Drosophila melanogaster: one gene and its partners. The protein of the gene in region 2 interacts with the protein of the main gene of each other region in a pairwise test. Each region holds a gene or a part of one and is shown on either strand. Other genes may lie near its edges.

Region 1 (7,816 bases), about 11 Mb from region 2:
GAGTGCTGCATTTGTAGGATTAACCCGGCGATACAGCACCTCCAGCAGACGCAGCCAGAACTTAAGCAACGGAAAACGCGAATTCATCGCTGAGAAGTGCAGAGGATTTTCAGTTTATCAGACTTAACTTTCCTTAAGATCGAATAAGTTCGTTAAACTCGAGTCAATTATTTAAAGTTATACAAGTTAGGCCAACTTATTCACATGTACACTGATCGCTTGTATATCGCTCACTTACTAAAGCGACTGTCATAGCTCAACCAGCCATGATTTGAAAAGTCACCTTATAAAATCTATTGGTATTAGCCTGAAAGCCTGATTGATTGAGTAAACAACATATCGGCCATATCCCATTCATTTCTTGTTAATCCTGGCCATTCAAATTTAACGTTCTGCAAAATTTCCAGTCCGATTGTAGGTGAGCAATATATAAAACACGATTGTATATACATGTGTAATCATCATACGACTTTCCTCCATACATTCCACGAAACACTCAAAGTCAAAGAAAACACACCTATTCATTTGCACGTTTTTGAATGCAGTCTCTTGTTTTTATCTTTTTTCCTGGCATATATATATATGTGTATTTAAATTTGTAAGATTTACGTCTTGTTATTATTCTTGCTTGTTGTATTAGACTAGAGTGAGACAGCTAGAGGAGAGAGTGAAATAGAGAGAGGGCATCAAATGCTGAAGGCAGATCAATTTATTTAACTTAACCATTTGAAACGGCAATAATTGTAACAAAATCACATATACGAGCACGAATAATTTATAAAAAAAAAAAACATTCCATTTTATGTACTGTGACAAGTCGGAAAAGCCTAACAAAATTATATTTCCTGATTTGTAAGCCTTGTTTTTAATTTGAGCCGATCATTTTGCGTATATCTGCTATGTTTTGTTTAGCTCAATTTCTTATTTTTTCGGCATTACTCATTATATCTGTTTATTTTAAAAACCATTTGTAATTTTTAACTTTTGTTTTTTCGTCATTGTGTCCAATACTCGTCCAAGTTCTTTGTTGTCATTGTCATCACTTAGAGTTATGGAGAAAGGATAGAAAAACGAGGAGATAAAGTTAACAAAACGTTAAGATACAAACGAAACACCAACAGCGCCTTCGCCTTCAAGAGAGCAATTCGATACTTTTTATATATATACAAGAGAATATATAAACGAATACAATCTATGTTATGTACGTACCCCTGTACACACAATTGAATTGAAGTCTGTGTATTCGCTTTAGTAAAATTGAGAAAACGCCACTCACGGCAGATGGGATGCAATGCGATCTGCTCGACTTGAAGTTAACAATATTAATATTTATGGGTCGCAACGGGCATAACTAACCCCATACGAACGTGTACCCTGGGTAGATAGCAAGATCTAGGATAGACAGCAGCGAATCTGAAACTATAACTAAATGCGTATCGCCGCCCAACCACTCCCCTCATATACCCATTTCACATATACCCTTGCATTATCGAGAAATCTGAACTTACATCGAACAAAAGTCGCCAGAATATCCCGATTTCCAAGCAAACGCATGTATATATATATATATACAAAAGCTAATGTGTATTCCCGCTAAGCAACTGAAAAGACCGAAAAGCAAATCACGAAAGAAAACCTTATATTTTGATGTATGTATTATTATTTTTTAATAAACCTAAGAGAACTTGTAACCGATCTGGTGTGTAATTGGTTTTTTCCTGGGAGGCTATAGCAAAACAATGTAAGTTTATTGTTTATATCACAACCAATTCGAGGCGTTAAAGTATACAAAAAAGTTAAAAATGATATTCGGTTCCTGCATTTATAAACGAAAAAATTGTTTCCCTCTGTAAGCAATACTTTTCAATTCAACTGAATTGCTTTCACTTATTTTTAGCTTACAAAAATCAATTTAAATACATTAGCCGGGCCTTAATCAAAAAAGATCTTACATATACCCTTTTGAAGACTGCGAATTAAAAAACCAGTTAACGATATAGTTTTTGTTCCATTTGGGGATTCGATTTATTCGACCACTCTTTTGCTTGCTGAATATGTACAATTTGCTTAAGTGTGCATTCGCGTTTTGGGGCTTTAACCGTAATTGGTTTGTTCTTACAGGGTAAAAATTATAGCTAATTAATTGTACATTCAAAACAAAAATGAGTCATCTAATCAAATTATATTCAAGAGGAAGATTGTGGAGTTCGGAGGCTGAGAATGATTATCAGTCTAATCGCTTTCTGTCGCAACATTTGCGCCATTGTTCTCCAGGCACTGCCAAATGGTCTTGGCCGCTGGACGATCCTCGCTGAGAGCATTTGTGCACAGATAAAACAGCTCCACGACGCAGTTGTAATCGTCGCTAAGTTGAAAGGCCACTGGCAATGGTGGTCGTGTACCATAGGCGGAATGAAGGTTATTCAGTGTAAAGTAAGAGATATCGTTCTCCTTCGTGTCATCATCTTCTTCATCGTCTTCCTCCTCCTCTTCCTTCTCCTCCTCATCATCCTCCTCGTCATAATCTTGACTCATATCGTTGTCTGTGTGTTCTTCCATTGCAGAAGGTAGTCCGTTCTTGTTTTCATCGCTGGAGAAGTCCAACTGTTTGCACTGCAGCTTGTCCGTGTCGGTGGGTAAATCGTGCGAACTGTCCATATCCTCTCCCAGTGCTGCATCAAGCTCCAAGGTATGTGGAGGCACCAAAGCAAGGGTTTCGTAGATAACCAGGCCAAAGCTGAATATGTCTGCCTTGCTGTCAATAACATCCACTTCGTCTATGACCTCCGGTGCGCACCAGAGGTTAGTTCCTAAAATATTAAGACATAAGTGGTTAATTTGACTGAATGTGAAATTATTTATATCATATGGGGTCAGTAAACTCACCCACATAGCGCAGTCCGGGATTCTTTAGGAAATTAACCTCGCCCTGCTCGTCCAGCGGAAGAGAGACTCCAAAATCGCACAGCTTACAAATCTCAAACTCGCCTTTGACCAGGACATTAAAGGACTTAAGGTCGCCGTGCATGAGGTGAGCTTCGTTGTGAAGAAAGTCTAGTGCCTGGGCCACGTCCATGATCATCTTATAGGTATGTTTGGCCGGCAACGGGCCCAGATCCTCGTCGTGTCGCTCCTCGAGTATGGAGCCCAGTGAAGTGGTGCACATTTCAAGTGCCAGTGTGTTGATGCCCTCGTCATTGGTGATAACGCCACGGAATCCCACGATGTTTGGATGCTTCAGTTTGCTGTAAAGTCAAAAGGTGCTGTTTATAGGGGGCAATTATTACAGCAATCCTGCGTAGTGTGTATAAAAAATGCACATTTTACGCAGTCACCTGTAGGTAACTCGATGCATTGGAAGCAAAAACTATGTACATCTAATAATAGCTTTATTTACTAGTATTGAGTTTCCCGGCTGAAGTGCGATGACTTAGGATCTTACTTGGAATATTTTGTTTGGTAATGCTATAATTTTTGTAATCTAATAAAGATTCTTTTGTTTAAAAGATGGGATATATGCAAAATAACATTTTAAGCTGGAATTTAAGGATGATCTATTCAATTCGAAGTGAGCCTAGATTACAATGGGGTATTTTAGCGAGCATGGACTGCAGCTGCTCAGCTGTGGGCCACCCTAATGAATTGCTGACCCACATATCGGATCACCCTAGCACACACGCACATTCAGCATCCGCACACGCACAAACACATGCACCCACACGCAGGACACCGACACATACTGCCAATTTGATTGGGCTTCTGGATTTGGATGAGCCTACCGCAGGATATCGGCCTCGTGAACAATTCGCTCGTTGAAGAGTGTATCCTTCTTGACCCGCATGTTCTGCGTGATCCGCTTGACGGCCCAGGGCGAGCGGATTTCGCCGAGACGAGGCGAGCGGTCCAAGCGGTAGACCCGGATCCCAGTGCCGTGGCCCAGGGTCTTCATCATCGGCGATGGCGGCACGTTGATGGGAGTGCTGCTGTTCTGGACATTCTCCAGGTGCAAATTTCTTAGCTTGCGGCGTGGCGTGTCCATCGCAGCAATAGTAAAATTCAATTAAACCAAAATTAAAGCGACGCGCACAAAACACCGTTTAAACTGTAAATGGAATGCAACAGTGTTGGTGTTGTGTTTGGTCCTAGGCGATAGAGTGACCGTGGCGTCTCTTTTGACTGGAATTAATCGCAAAATAGATGCTAAGCGCAATGTTCTTGTTACTGCCTTGTAGAGCACTCAAACTCTACTAAGTAATAGCTTATAAACTTCCGTCTGAAGTAACTGAAAAACAAAACACACGCCTGCTGTTCTAGGGCGCTGTGCGACTGGTCACACTGAATAGTGGACCGGCGTGCAGTACTAAATATTTAGTCGTTGGCATTCAAATTGCTCCTTATAAATTCCAATTAACTACGAATTATAAGAAATAGAATCCAGTTCCATAATGTTGGCAACGAAATTGGATGGAGTACCTAATACAAGGCCAACAAATATCCGTTTTTAATATATAAAAGTTAGCAACACTATTTTCCATGTTAATACCGGTCGTTTTGTACCGTTAAGCTTTAAATTAAATATATGACACTTAGCCAAGACGCGAACCCATACAGGTGCGTGTTACCCAGACAGCAACCGACACAGAAGTACCGCATTTCGTTGGTATTATTTTCACACCAACAATTGGCGCGAAAGCCGTGCCAAAGCAGAGATGCGATAAAGAAGAGGAGTGCAGAGAGGCGGCAGTCTGTGGAGAAACACCAGTGGAATCGCACACAAGCGCGGCGATTCGAAAGCGGACGTGTGTGAAAATCCAGACCGCGGGTTTTTTAAAATTTTTTGTTTTATTTTTTCGCGTGCGGTGTGGGAGGGTGTCACATCCAAAAAACACAAAGCGACAGCAACAACAACTCCGTTAATATTCTGGATCGGGCACACACGCACACAAACATAAAAAAACCGAAATATACACATGCTTGGCGGAGTTCGTGATTTAAAAATAATACAAAACACCAGAATTAAATATACGCGCACGCACACACACACGCGTATGTAAGGTGCAAAATAAAGTTTCTTTACTGGTTTCTGGTGTTAACAACAACAAAAAACATGAATAACTAAAGAAGAAACCGAAAATATAAACGAAAAGAGGAGCCGCAAAAATGCCACTCAGCTGTTACGGCGAAAAAACAGCGAAAAACGCCAAAAACATCGAAAATCAGGTGTAGCGAGAGAGGAAATATGGTGATTAAAACAAAGAGTGGAATTGGAAACGAAATCGTTAAAAATCAAATAATAACAATAACTACAACAAAGGCGGCGGCAACCTGCTCTTGAAATTGCCACAAATCTTGCTTTAATCTTTTGTTTTACAATAACCCCCAAAATCGCCATAAGGCACAAGTGCAATAAAAACCATAACAACAACAACAACAGCAAGAACAAACAAAATCAATATTCAAATTAAGCAGCAGCACCAACAACAACAACTCAACGAGCCGAGTCGATAAGCTAAACGATAAGTGCGAGAGCCAAAAAGGGGAGAAGAGCGCTCGACAGAGAGCGCGCGAGAGAAAAGCCGAGAGAGTGAGAACACAGCATCCACCCAAACCAAATCCACAAAATTACCACCCCCACAAAATGGGACGTCGAACGTATTTAAGCCGGTCCTCAACGATTTCCTACCCCAGCAGAATCGAAGGATGGCTGGATGTCTGCGGTGAGTGGGAGTTACATATGTACATACATATAACATCATAGACTTCATAGTGAATATCTCTCTAATTTATGTTTTATAAGTGAAATATAGGGTTGTAGTGTAACCTCATTCAATAATAATGAACTTAAATGAACTTAATGAAACTAAAGTTTAATGAACCATAAAGTTAGTTAGCGGGGATGCTGTAATCTGGTCCCTTTTATCGAACCTAATGGTTTTCAATGTACGATTATCTCTTTCTCTTAAACCTTAAAGATTAAGATATTGTCATACCCTTAAACTAAATGATTGGTTAATTCATCCAATTGATCCTATTGAAGCCCTGTCTAAATAAGGAATAGCTACATAAACATAGTTTTCTATAACTATCCCCTGGATTTTTAATTACAAACTCAAAACTAAGATTACTTTAAAAGTTAATAGTACCAGGAGATAAGGGAAACAATTGAAGACAAATAATGGTACCCAAAAGTGCCCACCGTCGGAAAACAAATGTTGCGATTAGAACCGCAACTCAAAGTAAACAAATAGATCTAATCTAATTTACTATTAGGTACCATTAAATACAATTTACTAGATACAATCTTTATGTGTACTGCTGCTAATGAATGCGGCTCAGATTGAAGTTGGCTAAAGAGCTACAATGTCTGGTATGAATATACGTTTTAATGGTAACCATTACTAAGGAAGCATTCAATTGAGCATAGCAAATTTTCAATGGGAAACTATGCTTCTGGAGTATGCCAACACACGAAAGTCAAACCCAGTGACCAACTCGAATTGTTTATCACTTGGCTATACATTTAACACCTTTTTAAAAGTGCATAAAAATGGTGAGCCAGTGTTCATAAGTTGGCTTTTTAATGTGGCAGGTTCATATGTGGGTTTTGCCGTGGAGAGGGGAAATTCGGATGGAAAAGTGCCCTACCGGCGGATGCGGATGTGGAAGCAGTTGCGGATGTGGATGCGGATGTATAATGTTTGGTTTGGTGTGGGCTGTGGGATGAGCTCTCTCGAGTTAAGTGTCTTCGTGTCACCTGTGCAAATTCCTTGGCCTGGGAAAAAATACCTTTCCACATTTTTCGGGCAGGTTCATGTTTGTGGACTAGCGTTTTTCCCCGTTATCTCACATTTTACCTGTCGCAGGTTGTCGCTGCCTTAGTTGTTGGTGTTGTTTCAGCGAGGGGTTGCTCGTACGTCCCTCGGAAAAAGGTGAAAACACACACACACACACAAGTACACTGCAAATACCCAGGCGAATAGACAACAAAGCCCCTGCGCAGGGTCTCTCCTCCCATCGAATGTTCAGGCGACCAAAGTGTCGAAGGTGAAGTGGAAATCTTTGGACGGAACCCCAAGATCGTTTGTATTATGTACATATATATGCATACTGCTTTTGGAGAGCTAAAAGTAATAGAGGATAAACGTACAACTAGAGTCAATCTCTTAGCACAACTTCTTAGAAATAATACATATAAAAACTATAACCAATCTATTAAAATGTATTCATAAACTAACAAGCTCCGCATATTTAAACAAATTTGTAAATCACCACTTATTTCTATTTATTCCGGAAAACATATTGCAGTAAATAATACTTTGTATAAGGGGTTTCATGCAGAAGTTTTTCAAATTAATTAATGCAGTATTGAATAAAAGTATTTAAAGCTAGTTAATAAAAGCAGTTTAAAAGCTATTGTCTCAAAACAGATATAAATTAAATCTATAACTGGTAAAAGGGTTTCACCACGGCAAATAGTAAATGTTTTTGTCGCCTGTGACCGATATGCCCATGTGCATTTGGATTAGCATGGGCCATTGGGGGAACACGTACAGCAGAAATTGGTAATAGCAGACAGCCACACACACACACACACAATCAAACGATCGCGATAAGTGGCAGCAAACAGTAAAAAAGGCTACCTTCGCCTTGAAGGCAACTTCTCTTATTGCCGTTTTCGGATTTCGTTCGCTTGCCTCATTTGCTTTATTTTTCCATTTTATTTTTTTTTCTTACCTTTCTGTTACGGTTATTTGCCCGCAGCGGAAGGAAGGTGTGTTTATTTCCAGGTGAACACGAATGTGCGTGCGTGTGTGCT
Region 2 (7,294 bases):
GGATAATCACAACAATCGTACGACCAGTTCAGTTAGTGCCACAATCCACGATTAACGGTATGCGATCTAAGCCGTTACAAATATCTAACGGCATTATGTAGCACACGGTATATTTTTGAGTGGAAACCGCTAACAATGTTGTTGTTGCCGCTTCTGCTGCAGCTGCTGCTGCCTATTTTGGCCATGGGGCAAAAACTGGCGGCGACGCCGCGTGCACGTGGTTTTGGCCTCTGTTTGGGCCATGGCTAAAACTGGGTCCTTCACGCAAGCGGGCGGATTGAACTGGCGCTGGCTTACGCACGGACTTTTTTTTTAACTTCGGCACTCAAAAGCACTTGCAAAAAACAAAAACAAACAGCGTAGTTAATAACACAGTCGGCGCAGCGAACTACGCCAATAGGCTGGATATTATGATAACTGTTAAACGTTTCGCGGATTCGTCTCTTCAAGTTATTTATTGTTTTATGGCGCCCTTTCATGCGCGGATCAACCGTAGAGCTTCAAATTTGGTAAACAACTAAGCCGTGCTGGCGTGCAGTGTGACCAGCTCTTGTTCGGGCAACGGTATTTCCGTGCCAGTGTCACCCCAGCTAGCATACCGCAGCCTATCGGTGCTTGTCACGGCTAAGCGGACCGGTGTGCTGCCGGCATGGTATGTTCGAAACGCGGCCGCATGGCCGCACTAAAAACGCGATTTACTTCAACTCGCGTTTCATTTTTACCCCATTGTTGTTGGTATCGTTGTTGTTGTTGTTGTGCACATATCAATTAATGGTGCGCGAGGCGAAATAATAATCAGTCAGTGGACAAGCCCGCCCAACGCCAGAGCCCCAGCCCCAGCCCGCCAAACGCCGCAAAGGTACGACCGGCAGCGGAGCGGCAACCATGAACTTCCCACTGGCGAGCGTCAACAAGGATACGTTGCGGGCTGCCTGCAAGAAATGCGGCTACGCCGGTCACCTGACCTACCAATGCCGCAATTTTCTCAAGGTAAGCGCACCAATCGCATAGACCGCATGTTTATGTTGCTTTTATCCGCCGCTAACCGCTATCCTGAACAGGTGGACCCCAACAAGGAGATCCTGCTGGATGTGGAGAGCACCAGCTCAGACTCGGAGCTGGACTACCTTACGCCGCTCACCGAACTGAGAGCCCAGGAGCTGAAGAGTGGCGCTGAGGTGCCGCCGCCAACGGAGCCAGCGGTGCTTCCCGCGGCAGGCAAACGGGACAGGAGCAAGGACAAGAGCCGCGACAGGCTCAAGGCGAAGAAGCGGGAAAGGGAGCGGGAGAGAGAGAAGGTGAAGGAGAAAGAGAAGGAGAAGGGTAGCCGGAGCAAGGACAAGAAGCGTAGCCACTCAAAGAGCAGCCACAAGCTGGCCGAGAAGAGCAAGGACAAGAAGTCGGTGCGGCACAAGAAGCATGGCAAGAAGAGGAGCCGGAAGCACAAAAAGACCACAAACACCAACAATAGCAGCAGCAACAGCAGCAGCGAGCTGGCCAAAACCAAAACAGGCAAGCGACCGAGCAGCGGCAGCACCAACAAGAAGTCAAAACGACGACGATCATCCTCCACCTCTAGCTCGGATTCGTCGTCGTCGTCGTCGTCCTCCTCCTCCTCCTCGTCATCAACCAGCAGCTCATCGTCGTCATCGAGCGATGATTCGAGTGATGACTCCTCCACATCGAGCGATTCGTCTGAATCGGATTCCAGCGACAACGAGGAGTCCAGCACCAGTGAATCGGATGAGTACGGACGCAAGAAGAAGCGGCAGGGCAAGTACAAGCGCAAGTCCACGGACACGGCCATGCTGCGACGCAAGAAGACCAAGGCGAAGCGGAAGCGACATCGTGCCGGCGGATCCGGTGCTCCGACCGCCGGCAGCAGCTACCTGAGCAGCCTCAGCGACAGCAGCACCTACTGAGAAAGAAAAGAAACAAACAAGGATTAACTGGATCAGCAAGAGAATCTAGATGTGGATCTGTATCTGGATCTGGATCAGCATCAGGATGGATAGACAGCTGCCTCCCAAAGCACTCGCTCCGCAAACTAGCTCGCTTTCCATTTTAGCCGTAAAAACGTAAAGGAGCAGGACCGCCAGCCCATCCTTTCCGCTCCTCACTTCCACAGAGAGACTGCCAGTTCCACTTCCAGTTCCAGGCCCCAAAACAACTTCTCCATGAACTCTTCCCACGGATTATGAGACGCGCAAACCGTAGACTTGTCCCTATACCTTAAATTTCAGCCCGATGTGTGCTGCAAATACAACAAATTAGTTTGTACAAGAGGAAGTCGGAGTTTTTCATAATTGAGAGAGAGCAAAGCATGGGTTGCTATTAATTATAATCTTCCGCAACATATTTTATATCTCACATTTAGTAATAATAGTTGTAATAGATTAGAAAATCGCTTTGTAAATGAGCCCAATAACATGGCAATCTAATGACTTAAAGATAGCTAATAGTGTCTGGCTTGTATTTGTGGATATGTTACGCGACCTAACAAATGATTTAATACACTTTTCGATAGTAATACCGAACATATATAATACGCCTACGTTAGGTGCTATAACCGACCCGAACTGGAGCTGGAGTCGCCTGATTTCTGAAAGATTCGCAGCGCTTCCTGCAGTGCGGAAATGTGTAGCTGCATTTTGGCTATTTGCCGGGAAGACGACTCGCAATTGCGGCAATGGGCAGGCGAAGCAGCTGTGCTTGAATCGGAAATATGCTGGCTGGCTAACAACAGCTGGGCATTCTGCGACTTGAGCTCGCCATTCTGGACTAGTAGCTCCTCGCAAAGGGCGCACGCCGAGCAGCGTAGATCCTCCAGCGCCTGTTCGCGTGCCTTGAGGTTGCGCATTAGCGCTCGATTCTCCCGCTTCAAGTTGAGCAGCTTCTGCTCCAGCTCCAGCATCTCGTCCTCGCTGTCGCGTTCCAGCAGCGGATCACTGGGCTTCTTGGGCGCAACACTCGACTGGCCGCCCATGCGATTCATGGCCTGCAGAATGGCGTCCATCTTGTGCTCCATTAACGCACCCGAGGCACGCTGTTCGTCTAGATATTTGTCCAGTGTCGTCACAGCCAACGGAGTATCGCTGCTCGTTGAAGCGTTGGCCACCGCCAGGGAACTGGCACTGAGTTTCCTGTGAGCATTTGACGAACCTATGGGTCGCGGCACTGGCGTTACTATCACATCCTCATTGGAAGGTGTCTCTGTTTCCCGTTCGCGTTCCTCATCGTCCGCCTTCTCCAGCGTTGGCAGCGTTACGCGGGAACGTGGTTGCGGCTGTGGCGGATTAGGCGTCGTCTTTGTGACCGTTGCTTTAGTTCGGATCTTAGATAAATCCTCACGCGAAGGCGATGCCGAGCTGGAGGATGAGATCTCGCTGAGATAGTGCTCCACTGGCAGTTTGTTTTTGACCATAAACGTTATGAATTCCTTCTCATCCGGTTCCTTGTCGAATCGCAGGCTCCAGAAGCGCTGCTCGTCATCGTAGAACTGCAGATAGGATTCGCGCAGTATCACCTTGCCGCCACGCGGTGTCAACTGCAGCGTGGTCAGCACCTGACTCTTGCTGCGGTAGACAATCAGCTTGCTGGCCTCCATCTCGCCCAGAATCGAGAGGGCCAGGCCGACGCGTCCAACGTTCTCGCTGCTCCGATAGGCATGCACCACCTTGGCAATGGCCGTGTTCCAGGCGGCAGGCGGTGAATCACCCGTCTCCTGGGTGCTACTCCTGGTCATGGCCGGTCTTTTGCCAGCCTGCAATTTTTTGGAGCTGCCTGGCTGATAGCGCAAGCTGGATGATTCGTTCGCCAGCGGACGATCGTCGTCCTCAAAGATCTGGCGCAAGTTGCGAGGACCCGATTCACTGGAGTTCATATATATTTAATATGTATATACCACTGTGCCAAGTGTCCCAATCCCGTCCAGAAACAGACTCACCTTCGCAACTTGTCGAAGAAGTCCTGATAGGACTGATCGTTGCCGATTTCCATGCCTAATTATGCAGTCGCATCGAAAATGTTTAAAAACATTAACTATTGTTCAGTTTGTTTTGACCGAAACAGAAAGTGTGACCAAGCGCCAAAACGAAGAAAACTTGTTTCCACCGGTGAATTGCTTTCAGGAAAATTATAAAATATTATAACTAAATATTAAGCAAAAAGGCCATAAAATAAACATATTTATACATATATATGTTTAATATAGTCAACTGTAATAGAATATATATTCTATATTCAATTCGTTTCAATATAATTAATTCAATATATTAAAACCAAACTGAACTTACTTCTACATTCGAAACAATGTTTTTAAAAAGATGCTTGTGCCTTAAATATGGAAAAATCAATCAATATTTAAACGAACATTTAAATTTTATAGTCACGACCTGCTAATTTGACTGCTTATCACTTTCCTAAATCTATGTTTTTGTTTTTATTTTGATTCTAATTTCACCACCAGCGAAATGGTAATAAATATTTTCGGCCACTCAATACGACATTTGTATTATTGGCGGTTGACCTCCTGGTCACGATGTGTTTTCCACTCCAAATCGCTAATGGAAAAACTGACGATACGGGCACTGCTATCAACCCAAATGTTAGTTGTCAGTGGGCTGAGATTTCGAGAGAATTAAGATCTAGATGCTAGATCTTGATCTCTGCACTCTGCAGATGCTTCCAGCTTCGAAAAAGAAGTTGCTACATTACGTATACGTACCCACAGTCAAGGTTCGTCTTGCTGAATTCGCTGGATTTCTTATTTCACAATAGACATTGGTCCGCCAACCTTCCCAAGGCCATTCAAAGAATCAGCAGCAGCACACTGCAAACAAAAAATGGTACTTCTTTCAGATTAACAATGAAATTAATTGAGTAGTAAGTCATATTATTTCGTAAAGATCTTGTCTTAAAACTGTGTATGATTTTTTGACCCATCAAATGGCAGTCTTAACTTATTATTCTTATTCCAAATTTCGTTCTGTGCCGCCAACGACGCAGTTGCTCTCGATCTTGATGCCTTGATAAGCGGGAGAGCGCATCATTTACCACTTGTTCAAGTGCGTTCATCGGCGAAAATTGCGGCGATAAGCTGCGATCCGGTGCGCTATAAAGTGGCCAGCAGCCCGGCAAGCGTTTCAGTCCGATCTTGGCCAGCCACCGAGAGAGACAGCCCATAAAAACCAACTCCCATCACCAAACAGTAGTAACACCCATTCTACCTGGCACAGCGGATTAGAGAGCAGAAGGCGATAAGGCAGTCGTAAACACAGAGATCTGATTACGTAAATAGGGAACAAAGACCATGGAGGTACCACCGCCACTTGTACTCAAGCGACCGCTCTATGTGCCCAGCAAGACGTTGATGGGGCCCGGACCCTCCAACTGTTCCCATCGCGTCCTGGAGGCCATGAGCAATCCGGTGTTGGGTCACATGCATCCCGAATGCCTGCAGGTACAATATCTTCTTAAAACCACAAAAGTGCTAGCAAGATTGAGCTTAATACTCGAATTATATCGAAAAGTTAAGCCCAAGTCCATATACTCATGGGCCGCACTGTACCTTATCTGAACGAAGTGAAACATTGAGATACATTTGCTGAGCTGGGTCAGAGATCTGTGGGCTAGCCAGTCGAGTGAAACCAGCACATCTCTTATACTTTATAGCAATCTAATATTAGTGATCCCCCCATGAATTGAGCTATTCCCACTGAGCATGGCCAGGTGTTTGTATATTAATCTCTGTATATCTGCAGATCATGGACGAGGTGAAGGAGGGCATTAAGTACATCTTTCAGACACTCAACGATGCCACCATGTGCATCAGCGGCGCCGGCCACTCGGGCATGGAGGCCGCTCTGTGCAATCTGATCGAGGATGGCGATGTGGTGCTCATGGGCATCACGGGCGTCTGGGGTCATCGGGCCGGGGATATGGCCCGTCGCTATGGTGCCGAAGTTCACTACGTGGAGGCGAGTTTCGGCCGGGCACTGTCGCACGAAGAGATCACATTCGCCTTCGAGGCGCATCGACCCAAGGTCTTCTTCATTGCCCAGGGTGACTCCTCGACTGGCATTATCCAGCAGAATATCCGTGAGCTGGGCGAACTGTGCCGCAAGTACGATTGCTTCCTCATCGTCGATACGGTGGCTTCGCTCGGCGGCACCGAATTCCTCATGGACGAGTGGAAGGTGGATGTGGCGTACACGGGTTCGCAGAAATCGCTCGGTGGTCCCGCCGGTCTAACGCCCATTTCGTTCAGCAAGCGTGCTTTGACCCGCATCCGAAAGCGAAAGACCAAGCCGAAGGTTTACTACTTCGATATCCTGCTGATTGGTCAGTACTGGGGTTGCTATGGCACACCCCGCATCTACCACCACACCATATCCTCCACCCTGCTCTACGGATTGCGTGAGGCACTGGCCCACTTTTGTGCCGTCGGCCTCAAGGCGGTGGTGCGTCGCCATCAGGAGTGCTCCAAGCGACTGCAGTTGGGCATCGAGGAGCTGGGTCTTGAGATGTTTGTGTCGCGCGAGGAGGAGCGTTTGCCCACGGTGAACACGATTAAGGTGCCCTTCGGCGTCGACTGGAAAAAGGTGGCCGAGTACGCCATGCGCAAGTGAGTATTGTACAACTGGACGCGAATCCTCGATAGAGATCCGTATTGAATCCTTTCTTTTTTTCCAGGTACAGCGTTGAGATTAGCGGTGGTCTGGGTCCCACGGTGGAGCACGTCTTCCGTATCGGTTTAATGGGCGAAAACGCTACCGTGGAGCGCGTGGACATGGTGCTCAGCATCCTGAACGAGGCCATTCAGAGCAGCAAGCTGGGGATCAAGACGGATCTATCGAAAATCTAACAAATCGTTGCCCTGCTCCTATCACTAGTTATAAAATAAAAACAAATATGGAAAACTAAATGTACTTCCTTTTGTCTTTTGTTCGCTAAATGTTTGAAACATATGGCATGTGAAATTTGTTGTCATCTAGAGAGAAATGGTACAAAGAAGCGGAAGTTGGCCAAATTCAATTCAAGAAGACTTCTCTTTCTCACAGGCACAACTTCCCGATTGGCGGAAAACAAAGTGAGTGATGGGCATGGATACATCTTAGATTTATTGAATCCAAGCCGACGCCAAATCATCGACTCATCCAAAAGCACTCTCACAGGCACTTAGATTAAAAAAAAAAAAAACAAAAAAAATTGTACACTTAAAAGTTTATTAGTTATCAAATTCAGTGAGCATGGCCCAACTAATTTCATCCATGTGTACTTAAAAGTCTCCACC
Region 3 (10,160 bases), 1.6 Mb from region 2:
AACTTACCATCCCGATGATCCTCAGATGGAAATGTATCTTATGGCTGCAATTTAGGAGCAGGATCAGCACTGGCCACTAATCCACTGAACATAAAACATAATTTTCACACACATTTCCGACGAAAGCAACTTCGCGACGGACCGAAAAATAAGCAGAACCTGTCGGCTCGAGAGCAGAAGAACATTTGGCCAGCCTCGAATATCTCCAGCTTGGCCAGAATTTGAGAACCAGACTGGGAAAGCCAGCCTTTCCATTCCACTTTTCCCCACTTTGGCCAACAGCTACACGCAGAAAAAGTTGATTTCAATCTAGAAAAAGGTATTTATAACTAATTTTATAACATAACTATATACATATATTCCAAGCAACGTTTATATATCTGATTTGAGATCTTGATACTATACAATAATATAAACATATATAACATATACATTTTTCGCTGAGTGCACGGGCCAACGGTAAAGCACAACAAAGTGTGGTCACCACTACGAATTGGGCCAGAAATCGGTGGCCAAGTGGATCTGGCATGGAGATGGCGACGAAGAGGTGGCCACTCCGCTCCTGACAGGTGCTTCGCCTTGGGATGCAAAAAAGTGGATGAGTATTGCGATAGCGGTGATCGGGGTTTGGGGATCGGGAATAGAGGTGCGCCAATGCGATTCGGTGGTTAGCAGGCTTCTGTTCTGGCCGATTAGCGATCATTATTGATTTCGCTTTTAATTCGGTATCTACTTGATATCTACAGCAGGGAATACACTACAAAAAACAAATTGGCACATCGTGTTCTAATTTATTTGCTTACAATACAGTGTGTATCATATTGGAATGGATAATCAAGCTACAGTTGGGATTTAAAATCCCTAAAACTAGCGCATCCTATAGATACATATATATATAGATACGCATATTATGCGAAATTTGATAGATTATATATATGTATTTCTCAGTGCATCAACGATAAATGGTCTTCAATTTGTCCTGTTGAATCGCTCGCCGAGATTCATCCCCTTGATGAGCGTGTAGAGCGAAAACGAGAACTTGGCTATCTAAAGATATGGAGAAAATATTATTAATATAGAGGAAAATCTATAAACATCATGCTAAGGATAAGAAAATTGGTATGTGCTTTGTATTTGGAAAATAGAAAGAGTATGTCCTCAGTTGGTAATCCTCTAACTCTTAAGCCAAGATTGTTATTCATAACCTATCATCTCTAACTATGGTAACTAATAGTAGAGCGGACTTACACTGAAGTACGTGGCCAGATTGATGGGAAACAGCTTCATGGCGGTCAGCGTGATGGGCTGCTGGGCGCGATGAAGATAGTAGAGCAGCATCTTACGGAACCGGGCACTCTGGCCCAGCCACTGGCACTGGAAGATGGCCAGGGCCAGCCTCTCGTTGTCCAACATCAGCGAGGTGGCCTGATAGCAACATGGAGCCGTCTGCAGGGTCACCGCCAGCAGGTAAATGATCGATGCGATCTTCGTGTTCGTATTGGCGAAAATGAAAATGTTGATCATGGTGGTGCCCATGATGGCGGCGGTGATCAGGAACTGAACGAATATGGTACGCGAGATGACGGGACTAATGCAGTCGAGCAGCTGCAGCATCGTCTGGTGATCTACAATGCAGCGCTGCAGTTCCGCGCAATGCTCCTCCTGCCGCCGCTCATCGGGATAGATCTCCACCTGGCCACTATCATCCGTGCCCAGCTTCTCCACCCGCCTGGCCAGCAATTGCACTTGAATCCGGACCACATACAGATAGATAACGGCGTACACATCATCGCTAGCTTGGTGCAGGCACGTCCAGTTCATGATAAGGAACTCAATCCAGGCCTGGATGCAGAACTGCATCTGGGAACGCTGCCAATCGAGGCCAGGCAAATAGAGGGCATATGGCGGTTGGCCCAGCAGGAAGGCGCACACAAATGTCGACGAGGAGTAGATGGCATAGCAGATCTGGTAGAACCATACCAGATAGTTGCAAAACCTCACCGCATCGAGGATCAATTGGAACTCCTCCTGTTCCCTGCACCGCGCATCCAAGGCGGCCAGATGATGCTCTGCTCTGCGCAGCAATGGCAAATTCCACGCCAGTGCCACAATCTTGGCCGGCAGAATGACCGCATCGATGGCCACCTGGGCGGAGGTCAGCACCTGGGTAATCTCCATGCCGCCCATGTACCGATAGCTGATCACAAAGAATGTGGGCACCAGCAGCAGTTGCCACACGTACATGACCACCGAGAAGCAGGCGTAGATGCGTTGCCATGTGCTGCTCGTGGTCGGTCGACTGCCATCCGGTGCCTGCATGCCAAGGGCATAGAAGCAATTGAAGAGATTCCTAAACGCTCGCCGGGATTCGGGCACTTCCTGCTTTGTGGCCACACGAGTGCTCACCGCCATGGCTGATGGACTTTTGACGCCTGGGAATATTCGAATGGCCTCTTTTATAGGCTGCCCAATTAAAAGTTGACCCTCATTTCGATTCGATTCGTTACTTTTTTTTTTCTATAAAAAATAGTTTTTTATTTTCGCATTTTGGTCTCTGAATGATTTAAATGAATCGTCAATTGTTAATTGCTAATTTGTACATAACATAAGTCACAAGCAGCATTTTGTTATTGCATATTTGTGAGTCCTTTTCGCCCCTCCCCCAAATCTACCGCCCATTATTCCCAACCCCCCATCAGAATCGAACTTTTCAATTCGATTTCAATTCAATTTCGTTCGCTTGCTAATTCAAAGGCAATTAAGCAGCAAATACAAATAAACTTAACTTAAGAACCCGAAGAACCCCATCCTTCCGACTAATTAATAAATAATGCAGGCAAATGCAATTAAGCTAGTGGGTAAATGTAAAGGTTAACTGGTTTCATTCTTCTTCTGTTTTTTTTTTTTTTTTTTTTTTTTTTTGGGCAGATATTTGTGGCTATATTGCTTGGTTTTGTGGTTCAATCGGTTCCTATTTTTGGTTAACTTCGGCTTTGTGTGTGAGCATAAACAACAATTTGTCTAAATTATAGTTATTAATTTATGCGCATATGCATATGAGGAGGCCTCTATTGCCTGCCACCAGCTCCAAGAAAATGTAGCCCAGAGTTTCGGGGTTTTGGTCGCGTGGCAAACGAGTCGAGTAACGAAATCTTCAATTTGATTCAGCTCCTCGAAAGTCGAAGGTAGCTATTTTGTGCATCCTGCGTTCGGGATGTTCTGGAAATATCTTAAGATATATGTATATACACGGTATTATCTCAATTGGTAAACTTGAGGAATATCTCGAGATATTTCCAATAGAAAAAAAAAAACCACTTTGCAAACAAACATGATTATATAATAAGTATCTGTGTACGTGGCATACATACATACATATATGCAAAGGTAGTTCAAATTCATTGCCATTATATCAATATCATAGCTATTCAGTATTTGGAAAAAACAGCAGCAATATGCTTCTTTATGTATATGCATGTATATACTCGTATATATCCATTATATGTAATTGTAAATCGATCGAGTTAAACTGGTATTCAATTCAGAGCTAGTGATTTTGTGGGTTAACGCGTCTATATCGGTCTATATCTAGTTGTCTATAACTATATATATATATATATATATGAATATATAAACATTTTTTTCAGACTTAAAAATGGAGCTTACGGCTGGCGTGTGTCTTGATCGGGATGCGGTGTCCTCGGAATTAATTGTTTGTTATCTATTATTGTTGTTGATGATGGCTTGCTAGCTAGCTGGCTGCACTTAATCTGAATCAAAAATCGGAGAACGCAAGTGGAGGCCTTCGTCACTATACATAGGTATACCTAGGTGTATAATACATAAATGGGAGTATATATCAGCCATATCCGTGCCATCCGTTGATGGGGCGGCTAATCTTATACGAGGGATTTGGGATTCGTTTGGATGTGTGATATACATATATTTGGTTTTGGAATCCGTCATTAGGCAAAACTAGTGAAGTCTTCACTCTACTTTTAAGGCAAATCGCACAAGTCGGGGGCTGCACAAGTCTATGGGTCTATGGGTGTGTATGTCTGAATCCTCGGGCACATTTTTCGATCGGGAGTATCTTTGTGTGAATCTCCTGAAGATTTCCTTCCCTGCCTATAGGTTGGCTAACATTAACATCGAAGTTGATATATGTACTTGGGTGTAAACAACTTGGGTAGCTACTTTTATGTACAGACAGTGGGTATCAAATTCTGCAAGAACCTATAGTATCTGGAATCTTAGCCACAAGGATATTTCGTAGTATTCCCCATCTCAACTACTGTCATCCGTTTGATATAGATATATATATATGTATGTATCTAGTTCTTCCTGAAAACCATTTGATTTATCTGCGCTTTGATATTGCATTTCTCTTCCAATTGCTTTCTGTGAACTTGAGTTATCGCCTCCCAGATCTTCCAGCTGCTATGGCTAACCCTCTCTTTTTCGCTTGCCTGGATGTGCCTGTCCTGCTCTTTCACAAGCGGTACTCATAGTGCGCCGATCGAGATCGCCGAGCTCCCGAGTACCAGCGATATGGTACTCGCTGCTGATGCAGCGCCAAGTCAGCGGCTCCTCCGCCGGTCCCAATGTCCGCGCCCGGACTCCGCGCCAACTGCAAGGTTAGCGCCAGACGCGACTGCTAGGAGGATGAGGCCGATGGCGACGGAGTGCTGCCACTGGACGCCTGTCGCTGGCGTCTCTGCTGTTGTTGTTGTTGCTGCTGCTGCTGTTGGTGTGGCAGCTGCATCGCCGGTGCCGTCATCCGACGTCCCAAGGCGGGCAGCGGATTGGCATCCAGATAGGCCTCCGGACTGAAACGCACCCGACTGTGCTGGGAGCCAATGGAACCCTCTTTGGCACTCAAGTAGGAGCTGTCATCGCTGGTCAACGAGTCCGGCGGCGTGGGATTAGTGGGTGTGCCCTGCTGCGAGGATGTTGACCCATTGCCACCATTCCCACTATTGTACTTCTTTAGCGAGCTGCGCAGCTTTGACTGGCCGGCCAGTGGTGGTGGTAGTGCAGCAACCACCGAACCCGCTCCGGATTGTTGATAGCCCAGCGAGAGCGCATGCTGCTCGAAGGGCAGACTGGCTGGTCGCGTCACCGCCGCCGTGGCATATTTGCTCTTGGTCATCGGCAACGGACTGTGGATGAGGCGGTTCAGTAGCTTGGGTGATCCTGCATACAGTTCCTGCTTTGTCGGCGGCGGCACCTGGTCAAGCTCTCGTTCCCGCTCGCATTCCCTCTCGTACTCCGCATTCAGATTGAGATTGTTGTAGTCATAGCACAGCAGCTCTTCGTGCTCCAGCAGTACATTCGAATTGTTCGAAACGGTTGAGGGAGTGCGTCGGTGTCCGGCCGCACTTACGCCCATCTGTGGCACCCGCGGTGGTGGTGTACGGGTCTGGCTCACCGGACAGGGAACGGTCACGGGCAGCGGCACCACTGGTGGCGCCTCATACTGGTAGTCATAGTAGTCCGGCAGGCGATGGTTATAGTCGTAGGAATAGTCCGGATACGATTTACAGTCACGCTCGTAGCTGTAGTTCAACTCCGGCCGGTATGGAAAGTAATTGGAACCTATCAACGGGCAATTAGTATATTTTAAATTGGAGGATTCTCCTCGAATGTCTAATGGCTTGCCCACTCACCGAAGTAACCATTTCGGTAGTTTCCCCCATCGTTGGAGTAACTGGGTCCGTTTCTCAGGTAATCGGCTGGCGCATAAAGTGGCGGTGGACCAATGCCACCGCCCACACGAAACTCCTCGAAGACATCCGCTTGAGGATTGGCATTGCCAAAGCTGCTGTTGCTCAGCTTACGCCGTGGCGATGGCGTCGGTGGCTGGGTTCCGGCATACAGTGCACTCACCACGGCTGGCGGCTGTGATGGCGCTACTGTTGTCACCACGGCCGATGGAACTGGCTGTGGCTGGTGAGGATGATGATGATGGTGCTGCTGCTGTTGCTGTTGCTGCTGGTGGTGATGGTGCAACTGATGCTGTGGTGTCCGCTGCACAGGTGTGTAGTACGGCTGACTGCCTCCGATGCGCCGGGCCAGAGATGTGGGCTGCGATTTGCTGACCGGAGCTTCAATGCCACCAAATCTGGGGGGCAGGAATAGAGTATATAGTGTATAAAGAATTCGCGCTCTTTCGGATTCATTTAGCACTTACCTTGCTTGTGTGACTATCTTACGTGGCGTGCTTTCCCTGAGCTCCTGCTGCTTCAGTGGCACATTTACTTCCAGTTCCAGGATCTGTTCCGGCAGTGAATCCTCCACCACCTCTTCCGTTCCGGTAATCGCTGCCTTTGGTGCCGCCTTCAGAGCTGGCACTTCGCTGAGCAAAGTCGGATGCACTGGCGACACGTTCGACATGCGAACATCATATCCGGCCGCCACTCCGGCCAGCAGGGATGCCATGTTGTACAGCAACAGTTCGATCACGGAAAGCTTCGGCTTGCGCGCCGAATCGCCGGCATAGAGTGTCGGCAGTGGCACGTTGCTGGTGAAGCGGCTGAGGAGATATGGCGATGGCGACATAATCGGCATGTTGGTGGCACCCGGACGCCAGTTATCCATCTTGCTATTGCCCTGGTAGCCTGGTCGGTCCGATCGGCAGCATTCCAAGGCGGATATGAGACATGATTGAGTTACGGCATATGGTTGGTACTGGCTTGGGGGAACGATGGCTGGGATATGGTCGGTAGTCGGGTGGTAATCGGATAGTCGGAGGCGGGGGGTACAAGAGTAGTTGGATAGTAACCGCAGGCAACACCAAAGTTTAACCACCGCATACCAAGGAGACTCTGTTCGTCCTATATTAATAGGTTAATCTCTCTCTCTCTCTCTCTGTCCAAAATTGTGGATTGTGCTCATGCACAGAGAAAATCCATTCTTCATTCAGTCATTTTCACGTTAAATTGACATTAAAAGATAGCTTCACTTTAAATAAGTTTAAGTAATTTAAATGTTAGTTTGGATCATTGGACTTTCTCTGTGCTTTTTAGCTGCGAGGCAATCAAAACTGGTCGGCAGATTGTCTTAAGTTGGTTTTATTGTCGGATTTCTGTTTCTGGGTATTGGTTCTTCTTTTTTTTTTGTTTGTTTTTTTTTTTGGGGTTGGCTTGGCCCCAACATGGAAAATACAATAATATACAAAGTACATTGAAATAGAATCGAGCACTAAACGTAGAATGAACAAATCGTAAAATGAAGTATAAATATACAATTGAAAGTTTTCATAAAAATAATACAAAAAAATGATCATTTCCTTTTCGTTTCATCATCGTTTTTTGATCACAGGTTTTTTTTTCTTTCTTTCTTTTGCGCGATTATTCTTGTGCTTTTTTTTTTTTTTTTTTGTAGAAATAAATCATAAATAAATAAAATGGAAAACCCGATTGCATAATAAATGTATGTAAATAAAACTGTGCTCAAAATACCAAAAAAGTCGAATATCAAATTAAAATTAATGTGCACCGCAACTTTTCGTTAAGTGTACTTAAGCCAAACGAAATGCCGCAAGCGATGGAAATTTTGGAAAATATCTCTTACAAAGATTGAGGGGGTGAAAAAAAAGGAGGAAGGACTCCAAAAAAATGTTCGAGTTCCTACAAAACTAGAACTTAGTTCAACTAAGATGTGTGTAATGTGTAATGTGTAAGGACGCACTTACGCATCGGTATAAATATAGCTTAATGTTAATCCAATTGTTACACATTTATGTATATGGTTTAGTTCAATATATTTTGCCATTGGCCCATGCACACGTTTTTTCTCTCCGTGTCTGTTTGTCTACGTACAAGCGGCGTTAGTCTATCTATCCGTTTGATCCTCAAAAGTTCGTCCTCACTTCTGTGCTACACATTGCAATTTTCTAGCCACTCCTCTGGCACAAAAAAAAAAACAAAACAAATCACTGGACTAATTAGGGATTAACTTGATTTGTGAATTTCGCACAACATATTGCATTCGTTAGGAACAATTCGGTTATTATGAAATGCCAACCGCGGACAGAGGGGTTTTTTGTTTAGTTCTATGATTTCGTTAGACGGAAAGAATTCGGATAGGTATCTGTATCTCTGGGCCCTACTAATTTCACACATTAGCTATGGCTAATCCTCGCCTGCTGTTTCATCTCTTCGCTCTTCCTTTGCGTCTGACTTAGTCTACAGTTTTAATATAAAACAATGAGCTAATTAGGCGGTTCTCATCTGGCGGCCAACTCCAACAGCAACACTGCAGCACGGCGCACAACTGGGACTTTAGCATCGCTCCAGTTGCTCGCAGGATTGCGTCTGCGGCTTTTTGCCTTTGCGCTTCAAAGAGCGACTGCTGCCCCCCATCGCCAAATCGGTTTGATAGGGATCAATGGCACAGAACTCGGGTCCACCGACCATGTTGTGCTCCGCCAGCTTGCTGTACTTCTTTCGCGAGCGCGTAAAGAGATTGAAAAGGGCACGGATTTTGCTCGATCCAGCCGAGTGATGCTGGTGCTGGGGATCATTGTGGTCATCATGTTCATGGTGCTGTCCCTCGACTGGCGCCTCAACAGACTTGGATTTGGTTATGTGCTTGGGCCGTTGCTTCTTTTGGTTCTTGGTCTGCTGGCGCTGTTCCTGGGCCCGCAGCTTAATGACATCGGGATGCGGCTGAACATCTTGCATCCGACGCGTATTCAGTATGGAGTTCTCCTGCATGTGATAGCCGTTCACGGCTTCCGTAGAAGCAATGGACGGTGAGGCGGACGCAGTGGTGGACGATGAGGACAGCGATGGCGAGGCGGAGCGGTAGGTGGCGAAGCTAATTGAGGCACTGGATGTATATAGATCCGATCTGGCAGTCGTTCGCGGCGTGGCCACAAAATCGGGCTCTTCGAAACTGACGCTCTGGAAGGTCACTGAACTCTTGCGCGACGTGGTGGAGTTCTGGCGCATCTGACTGGCGGGCACTTGACACTCATCGTCGGCATCCGCATCTGCTGTGTCCACCTCCGCCGCCACCGCGTCCTCATCCTCTGCTTCCCCTTCCTCCTCCTGCCTGGTGAAGAAGCAGTGCCGTGGAAACTGCGAGCCGGAAAAGTTACGCTGAAAGCGTCCACCCTCGAAGGCCTCCTCCGCATCATCGCAATCCCTGGCAGTCAGCGGTGTGCTGGAGTTGTACATGGTCAGGTCGCCACTGGATTTGGAGTTTACCCTTTCGCTGCTGGCCATGGACATCTTTTTGATCACATCCCGATAGAAGGCATGGTCATACGTATTGTTATCCTCCGATGGCAGAGTTAACTGGTTGGGCAGTGCAAAGCTATTGCTACCGTTCGCAGGCGGATGATGACTGCTGCTGTCCAGCGAATGCTTCTTTCTGCCCACAGCTGGACTGTTGCCCAGACTGCCGCCAAAGCGATGCAGATGCACGGCACCACTGGCCGCCGATGAATTGCCGGACTTCAGGAAGTGAAAGCAACCGGTCGGACTGGCAACGGTGTCCGTTTCCGAGCTGTCATCCGTTACCAAATAGAGTGGTGGTGGCTGATAAGCAAGCGGATGATCAAGTCCGTACTCCTGGCTCCTGGCGCGATGGTAGATCTTGGCTGGGGATTGACTGGTGGTGCTGCTGTTGGAGTTGTTCCGGCCGTTTTGGAGGACAATTATCGTGTTCGGTTGGGAGGTCAGGTTAGTTTGATTGTTATTGTTATTGCTATTAATAGTACTAATATTATTTAGCTGATTGTTGTTGTTGGCGGAGATGCTGTTGTTGTTGTTGTTGTTGTTGTTGGTGGTTGTGGTGGTGGTAGTTGTGATGGTGGTGGTGATGGCTTTACAATTGCCAATGTTGTTGTTGTTGGGGCGCGTTAGTATAATGGGTATACCTGGGTACAACAATGGTGTGGCCGGCGTCCCACCAGCGCCTCCACTTCCACCCAAAATTCCCAAACCCGGCGGCGGTGTCAGCGAGGCCACCTGTTGCTGGTTCTGCTGCTGCTGCTTCTTGTCCAGATTCGGAGCACTCTTGCTGAATGAGGAGTGAGTTGAGGTCTGGGCGGGCCATTCCGGCTGACCGCCGCTCAGTTGCGAAGGCAATAGGGATCGCTCCCGCTGGTGCATCGTCGACGGGCCCCACGTCTTGCCCTTGTGCCCATC
Region 4 (7,425 bases), on a different chromosome or scaffold from region 2:
CATCTTCAAATCAGGGTTCCTCTTCTAACCAGGGATCGTCCTCCAACCAAGGATCGTCATCTAACCAGGGATCATCTTCCAGCCAGGGTTCTTCATCCAACCAGGGATCATCTTCCAATCAGGGTTCCTCTTCCAACCAAGGATCATCTTCCAATCAGGGATCGTCATCTAACCAAGGATCATCATCTAGCCAGGGATCTTCCTCCAACGAAGGATCATCTTCCAATCAGGGATCATCTTCGAGCCAAGGATCATCCTCTAACCAGGGTTCATCTTCGAACCAAGGATCGTCCTCTAATCAGGGTTCCTCTTCTAACCAGGGATCATCATCGAATCAAGGATCTTCCTCAAATCAGGGATCATCTTCAAATCAAAGTTCTTCGTCTAACCAATCGTCCTCGAATCAATCCTCCTCCAATCAATCGTCATCATCTAACCAGACATCATCATCCACTACACAAAAGCCTTTCAAACCTGCAGAGAAATGTGAAAGTGAGGAAACTTTCTTGGCTGACAACGAAAACTGCTCGAAGTTTTATCGATGCGTGGATAATGGTAAGGGTGGTTTTACAAAAGTATCATTCACCTGCCCTCCAAACACGCTATGGGATCCTGAGGCCAACAGCTGTAACCATCCTGATCAGATCCAGACCAAGCCGCTCAAATGCAAAAAGGTGGTTAGCCAAGGCGGAAGCTCCTCTAACAGCACCAGCAACTCCTCGAGTAGCTCAAACAACAGTGGTTCCTCGTCGAACAGTGGATCATCTTCCAGTTCATCATCCTCCAACAGTGGCTCCTCCTCCAATACAGGTTCATCGTCAAACAGTGGCGCTTCTTCCAGCGGTGGCTCATCGAATCAAGGCTCATCCTCCAATAGTGGCTCCTCTTCCGGCTCGAACTCTTCTGGAAATCAATCGACATCTTCGTCAACATCGTCTTCATCATCATCAAGCAATAATAATAATCAAGGTTCCTCCTCATCGTCCTCCTCCAGCAGCAGCTCGACTTCGTCAAAACCAAATCCATCTGAAACCTGCAAAGTTAATGGACAATTTATTGGCGATCGATCGGATTGTGCCAAATTCTATCGCTGCGTCGATAATGACAGAGGTGGCTTCAATATGGTACCCTTTAGCTGCGGTCCTGGCACTGTTTGGGATGCCCAGATGCAGGCCTGTAATCATGCGTGGGCAGTAAAGGAATGCGGTGGTATTGCTCCACCTACAACTTCTACTCCGACGACCTCCAGGCCAACAACGGCAAGCACTTCTAGACCTTCTGACCAAACTTCAACGTCGAGACCCACAGGTCCGCCCACTACCGCACGTCCAGTGACTGCCAGACCAACCACTTCTTCTCCAACAACAGCTTCATCATCCCAAACCACATCTCCTGTTACTCAGGCACCCAATACGGATGGCAAATGTCGATCGGAGGGCTTTATGGCTGATCCCAACAACTGCTCCAAATTCTACCGCTGTGTAAGGAACAACAAAGGCGGCTTCACCTCAATTCCATTCCAATGTGGAGCTGGTACCGTATGGGATCAGGATCTGCAGACCTGCAACCACAATTTCAACAATTGCAGTACGGGCACTGAAAGTACCACTCCAAAACCGCCTTGTGAGCCAGCAACAAATGGAACAACGGCCACGTCTACGTCCTCGACCACCACACCTCCACCCACCACCACTGATTTACCACCCACTTCAACAACAGGATTGCCGCCTACTACAACAACCGAGTTACCTCCAACTACAACCACAGACTTACCTCCTACAACAACTACTAGGTTGCCTCCCACTACAACTACTAGCTTGCCTCCGACTACAACAACTGGACTGCCACCCACCACGACCACAGGAGCTCAACCCACTACAACAACATTGAGTTCGGAAACTGAAACATCAACGGTAACCACAAGTCCGGAAAGCACCACGCAACCACCGTCTACAACCACTATGAAACCCCTACCAGCTGGAACGGAATGCACAGGAGAGGGATACATGGCCGATCCCGAAGATTGCAGGAAATACTACCGATGCATCAATGCTGGAGCTTCCTACAGAAAGTACAACTTTACGTGTCCCAAGGGCACGGGATGGAATGAAGAAGTTCAGACCTGTGACTACGTGGAGAATATACCAAGGTGCTCGAAGTTACCCGCTGAACCAATCACTACGACACCAAGTGAAGAGTCCAAGGATCCCGGAAGCACCACTCCGCAGTCAACGGATGAGCCCACCACAGTGACAAAACCCATTACAAAACCCACCGAAGAACCTTCAACAGAAAAACCTCAAAAGCCGACCACTCAATATCCGGAGAAGCCAACCACCACAGAGGAACCAGAAAAGCCGCAGAAGCCGACTACAACCGAGTATCCTCAGAAGCCAACCACCACGGAGGAGCCTACCCCTGAGAAGCCCCAGAAACCCACTACAACCGAATATCCTCAGAAGCCGACCACCACGGAGGAGCCTACTCCAGAGAAGCCCCAGAAACCCACTACAACCGAATATCCTCAGAAGCCGACCACTGAAGAACCCACCACCACAAGTATTCCGGGCTACAATCCAACAACAACGTCTGTTCCGGGCTATAATCCAACAACAACGCCGATTCCGGTAGAAACTACAACCTCAACTCCTGGCTATAAGCCAACTACCACCGGCGAACCTATTACCACGACCACATTACCTTCCACAACCACGGATGCAATTCAAGAGCCTACAACCTCAAAAAAACCCGAACCCACAACAACCACGGAAAGTCCCGAATCCAGCACCCCTGAAGGTTCAGTAACCACTCTTCAGCCGGAGCCACAGCCTAACTATAACTGCTCATCGGAGGGATTCTTCCCAGATCCCGAGGACTGTAGTCGCTATTACCGTTGTGTGGATGCAGCCAAAAACGGCAAATATCAGGTTTATGCCTTCAAGTGCGGCAAAGGAACTGTTTGGGACACGTCCACCGAGACCTGCAATTACGCCGATCAGGTGTCTGGCAATTGCTCATCGGGACAGACGACCACGCCGGGAACGACTACGGAACCTGGTACGACGGAGAGTACAACCAGCTCTGGAAAACCTGAAACCACCTCAAAGGCCCCTGAAAACACCACAACATGGGCTCCTGAAACCACCACTACATCGTCTCCTGAAACCACCACCACAGTAGCCTCCGAAACCACTACTACTACTTCTGGCACAACCACCACAGCCACTCCTGAAACCACTACAAAACCACCCAAGCCTGAAACCACTACCATAGCTGGGGAAGAAACATCAACGTCAAAATCGCCTACCACTACGGAGAGTCCTGCTCCCAGTACCAATACCTCTGCTCCTTGTCCCGAAACCGGACCAGGTCAGAACGTGTACGTCTGCCCCACTGGATTCCGCCGGCATCCGGAGAAGTGCGGCATGTTCTACCAGTGCAGCGAAAGTGCCGATAACAATGATCTTAACATCGTGGTATTCCAATGCCCCAACGGAACCGTCTACCAAGACAAGTCCTGCAGCTGTGGCAAGCCACCGGCAGGTGACAAGTGCTCCAAGGACATGAAGAGGACCACCAACGCGTTTGAAGAGGAAACGAAACTTCAGAATGTGGTAAGTCGTATAATTGTAAAGTCTAGTCTACATTCCATAATGAAATAATACAATTTAATTATTTTACCATCAACAGGTTCAAATCAGCACGACAGATCCGCTCTGCCCGGATGAGGGTCACTTCGCGCTCAACAACGACCAGTGCGGCCAGCTGTTCGTCAAGTGCGGATTCTCGGAGCTGACGGGTCGCATCGAAGGCCAGATCCACCGCTGTCCGCAGGGATTCGCCTACTGGAACGTTAGCCGACGATGCGAGCCCGCCCGCAAGCTGCCCAACTGCACGCCCACCACCTACAATGTGGGCGGAAACGTGCCGCTGGAGTGGCTCAACATTGGCCATAGACGCCGCAGCATGCGCATTTAATTAGATTTAGTCTAGATTCACTTAGTCGCCCGCCATTGTTCGTTTGCTGCGCCAGCACTTGATGGCCAGCTTGGCAGCTAGCTGATTGCGATCGAGGCAATAAGCTGGCGCAGCAAACGATCGAACCGAAGAGTTAGCTTAGGACGTAGGGAAATTACATTAGGTTAAGCACGGGTGCAGCCCTCCGACATTTATCTTACAAGTGGGAACTTAAAACAAGTTAGCCTATAATACAACCATATATTTCTATAATATATATTGCTTCGATTGTTGGAGGGTAAACTAGATTCTTGGTGTCGGACTGCTAGCGAGACTGCACTTTACGCATTTGAAAAGGAAACAAAAGGTTTTGAGTAGTCTTCCTATAGTGGAAACAGGCACAGCCTTCACTACACACACGTAAATGCTGTAGCTTTCATGCAGTAATTGTATTTATGCTTAGAGTTAAAACATACGTTCTGAACGCCATATACAATATATCTTAGACTATGCTTAAAGATTATAATAAATTGAATCATATACAGAAATCGTCGAAGAATGATGCAGTGGTACTTATTTTACTTTCGGATGTATGCCTCCAGGATGCAGATGACTGGAGCACTAATGTTTTCATTCTTTATGCGATTGTAGTTTTATGTATTCTAACTACTTTCATTTCTGATTGCGTTTTTGAAATTCGTTCTCTATTTCACGATGATTTCGACGGAATACTATTCCTTTTATAAGATAAATACGTTTCTTGGCTTGTTCCCTCTGAAATAATGAGTAAACTAGAGGTTTGCCTTCGGATTTTCGGTAATCTGCTCGTTTCCGGATTTTGGAAGGCTTGGAAGTAATTGAATTTTACGAAAACGTAGACTTTTGCATTCTACTATTTTTCTATAGTTTTATCATACTTTAAATATTACTTCAATGACTGTAATAGCTTCCTACTTCTTTGAGGATCAGTGGTTGACTCCATTCATGCTCCTGAAAAACCAATACTGTATCGTTCTCTCTAGCAAATTCTTTAGGTTTATAATTACCCCTTCTTCACGCACGCTTTTGGCCTCGACAATTGATCCTACTTTTTCTTCTTGGCCTGTGGCGGTGCCGCCGGATTGTCGCCCTTGTAGAAATCCTTTAGCAGAGCCATCGCCTCATCCGCCCGCACACCGCCCGTGATCTCGATCCTATGGCCAACGACGGCGGCCACATCCACGACCGTCTTTCCTCCGAAACGATCGTTCTCACAGCCGTAGATGATCTCCTTGACGCCCAGAGTGTGCAGGGCGGCGGAGCACATAATGCAGGGCTCCACGGTGACCACCACGGTGATCTCGCTGAACAGCTGGCGGGCCGGCAGACGTCTCTCGCGGCAGCTGGCGAGGATAGCGTCGATGCAAATGAATTCCGCGTGGCGAGTGGCGTTCCGGTGGACGTTCACCTCGTTCCCGCCACGTGCGACCACCTTGTCCCCATGAACGAACACACAGCCCACGGGCACCTCGCCGGCGTCACGTGCCCGCCTCGCCTCCACTAACGCTTCCTCCATGAAGGCGGCCATTTGGCATGGAAATAGACTCGGGCGAACTGGGTGAAAAGCCGCAAACAGATGAGATGAAATGACCAGGTCAACAAAAACAATGGGTAGCTCTCACTCAGGCGGCACTTTCCAGCACTGCGCAACAGCTGGCGGTCACGGTGAGCGGTCACTGTACGAGCGGTCACGGTGGGAAAGCGAAGTCACCTTTTGTATTTGGGGTATTCCCCGCAAATAAATAATATCTCAAAATAAAATAGAGAATTCTGTTTCAATAGAATACTGAAATTATTAATAATGTATTCTCTTTTGCCACTCACTTATAAATGTAGAGCTTTAAAGTTATAGTATGTGCAGTAATATCCTTATATATACATAGAATGTATTTGTACAGATACAGATATGTAAATACTATCTAAATAATTGACCATTTTTGCTTCAAGCCTCATTCCGCATGAATCGGATTAGGTTGTGCTCCTCCAAAAATGCTTGAGCCTTCTCGGGCCAATTGGTATTATTAGTAGAACGCGGACTAGGATGCGGCAGTCGGAGCACCGAAACGCAATTGGATTTGGCATATCCTGAACGCTTCAGTGCGCTGTGAACATACTCCCCAACGGCCACAATCACGTCGGGTTGGAGGAGCTTCAGTTGTTCCTCCAGGGTGTGCAGGCACAGGTCTCCTAGCTGATTTTTGTAAGCTCCTCTGATTTCACTGGGCGTTATGTTCCTGCCATCTGCGCCAAAGAAAGCTAGCGGACAGAAATTGTGGACGAAACACTGCTGGGAGAAGGTCTGCATGCTGCCAGCCAGTCGGAGGAACAGCTCCCACAAACGCACACCACTGGGCTCCTCAATCCGACAATCCAAGCCAGCGACTGGACGTTTGGGATGCACGACTGGAGGTTGGTCCACCGAACCAGCCAGCTGCATTAACAACTTTACTGTGCGCACATTGCCAAAGGGAATCTGAAGCAGAGCGCGTCAATGTATCAATATGTTCGGATAATCTACAAGATTAAGCTCTTACTCCGGTTTGGGCCATTCCATTGGGCCCTGGATTCATGCCAACAAATACCAGCTTCTTGGGACCGTCCATATAGCGACGTAAATAGTCGCAGTGCAGCTGGGATGCATATACTATCGGGTTGTAGATGAACGGTGTGCTCTCAGGAGGATTCAGTTTTTCCAGCGCCTCATTTAACTTGACTTCGGTTTCGTAGAATTTAAGCCACAGCGGCTTATCAAAGAATTCCGATGTACTGCCCTGCCTTGCGGATGTCTTAGTGGGCTCCCCAATCTCCAGATTGCATTTTTGCTGGTTCAGTTTGCGCTTCAGCATAACGTTTGCTTCAGCGGAACAGGACAACAAATCGCAGGATTTAAAAGCTGCATTGGATTTGGTTTTAATCAGCTGTTCCACATAGAAGACTCAGTATGACCATATACGACCTTGAAGTTTTTAAATTGAACACGAGACAGATTGGTTTAAAATAAGCAATTAAAAAAAAATCCTATTACAGTTTAATTTATAAATACATTCGATGGACTAACATTGCGTTTTATTAAAAATCTTGATAAATAGCGAGTTTTATATATGTATATTTAAGGTTTAAAAATTAGCGCTCTATTTTTGATTACGCGTAAACTCATCTAGACGCTTCTCATTCTCCCGAACGAAGCTCGATTTGAAGGCTTTGCAGGTTTTCTCTATGCTGCCTTTAACGACGGTTCCAAGAATTTCCAGAAATTGTGATACCTGCAAGAATTATACACAAGTTTAGGATGCCAGCTGGATTCGGGAGTCATGGGGAACATACGGTTAAATTCCTTTCGGGACACGATAGCTTGGCGAACTCGCATTGGGGTGCATGTTTCACGTGCTCCTTCCACGGATCATCTTCGGGCTCCCAGCCATCCAGGGT

The links.
Region 1: the proteins of CG3342 (region 2) and CG8173 interact in a two-hybrid assay, tested with the Drosophila melanogaster proteins (one large-scale study listed by BioGRID).
Region 3: the proteins of CG3342 (region 2) and CG2278 interact in a two-hybrid assay, tested with the Drosophila melanogaster proteins (one large-scale study listed by BioGRID).
Region 4: the proteins of CG3342 (region 2) and CG5292 interact in a two-hybrid assay, tested with the Drosophila melanogaster proteins (one large-scale study listed by BioGRID).

The regions. Positions count from the first base shown.
Region 1 is NC_004354.4:17,705,403-17,713,218, forward strand, and holds CG8173 (uncharacterized protein), read right to left. Parts: upstream 4,252-7,816; 5' UTR 4,040-4,251; coding exon 3,780-4,039; intron 3,246-3,779; coding exon 2,887-3,245; intron 2,811-2,886; coding exon 2,233-2,810; 3' UTR 1,999-2,232; downstream 1-1,998. Other genes in the region: par-6, read left to right, coding at 1-17.
Region 2 is NC_004354.4:6,523,805-6,531,098, forward strand, and holds CG3342 (uncharacterized protein), read right to left. Parts: upstream 4,085-7,294; 5' UTR 4,000-4,084; coding exon 3,947-3,999; intron 3,873-3,946; coding exon 2,564-3,872; 3' UTR 2,302-2,563; downstream 1-2,301. Other genes in the region: CG3918 (uncharacterized protein), read left to right, coding at 886-990, 1,062-1,922; Agxt (Alanine-glyoxylate aminotransferase), read left to right, coding at 5,312-5,461, 5,763-6,625, 6,694-6,865.
Region 3 is NC_004354.4:8,163,297-8,173,456, forward strand, and holds CG2278 (uncharacterized protein), read right to left. Parts: upstream 6,971-10,160; 5' UTR 6,601-6,970; coding exon 6,194-6,600; intron 6,125-6,193; coding exon 5,670-6,124; intron 5,599-5,669; coding exon 4,658-5,598; coding exon of another isoform or gene 4,493-4,657; 3' UTR 2,537-4,492; downstream 1-2,536. Other genes in the region: Or7a (odorant receptor 7a), read right to left, coding at 970-1,047, 1,249-2,412; slpr (slipper), read right to left, coding at 8,286-10,160.
Region 4 is NT_033777.3:17,150,073-17,157,497, reverse strand, and holds CG5292 (uncharacterized protein), read right to left. Parts: upstream 5,638-7,425; 5' UTR 5,525-5,637; coding exon 5,042-5,524; 3' UTR 5,004-5,041; intron 4,948-5,003; 3' UTR 3,979-4,947; downstream 1-3,978. Other genes in the region: Mur89F (mucin related 89F), read left to right, coding at 1-3,614, 3,691-3,978; Smug (Single-strand-selective monofunctional uracil-DNA glycosylase), read right to left, coding at 5,939-6,469, 6,531-6,842; Det (deterin), read right to left, coding at 7,128-7,259, 7,321-7,425.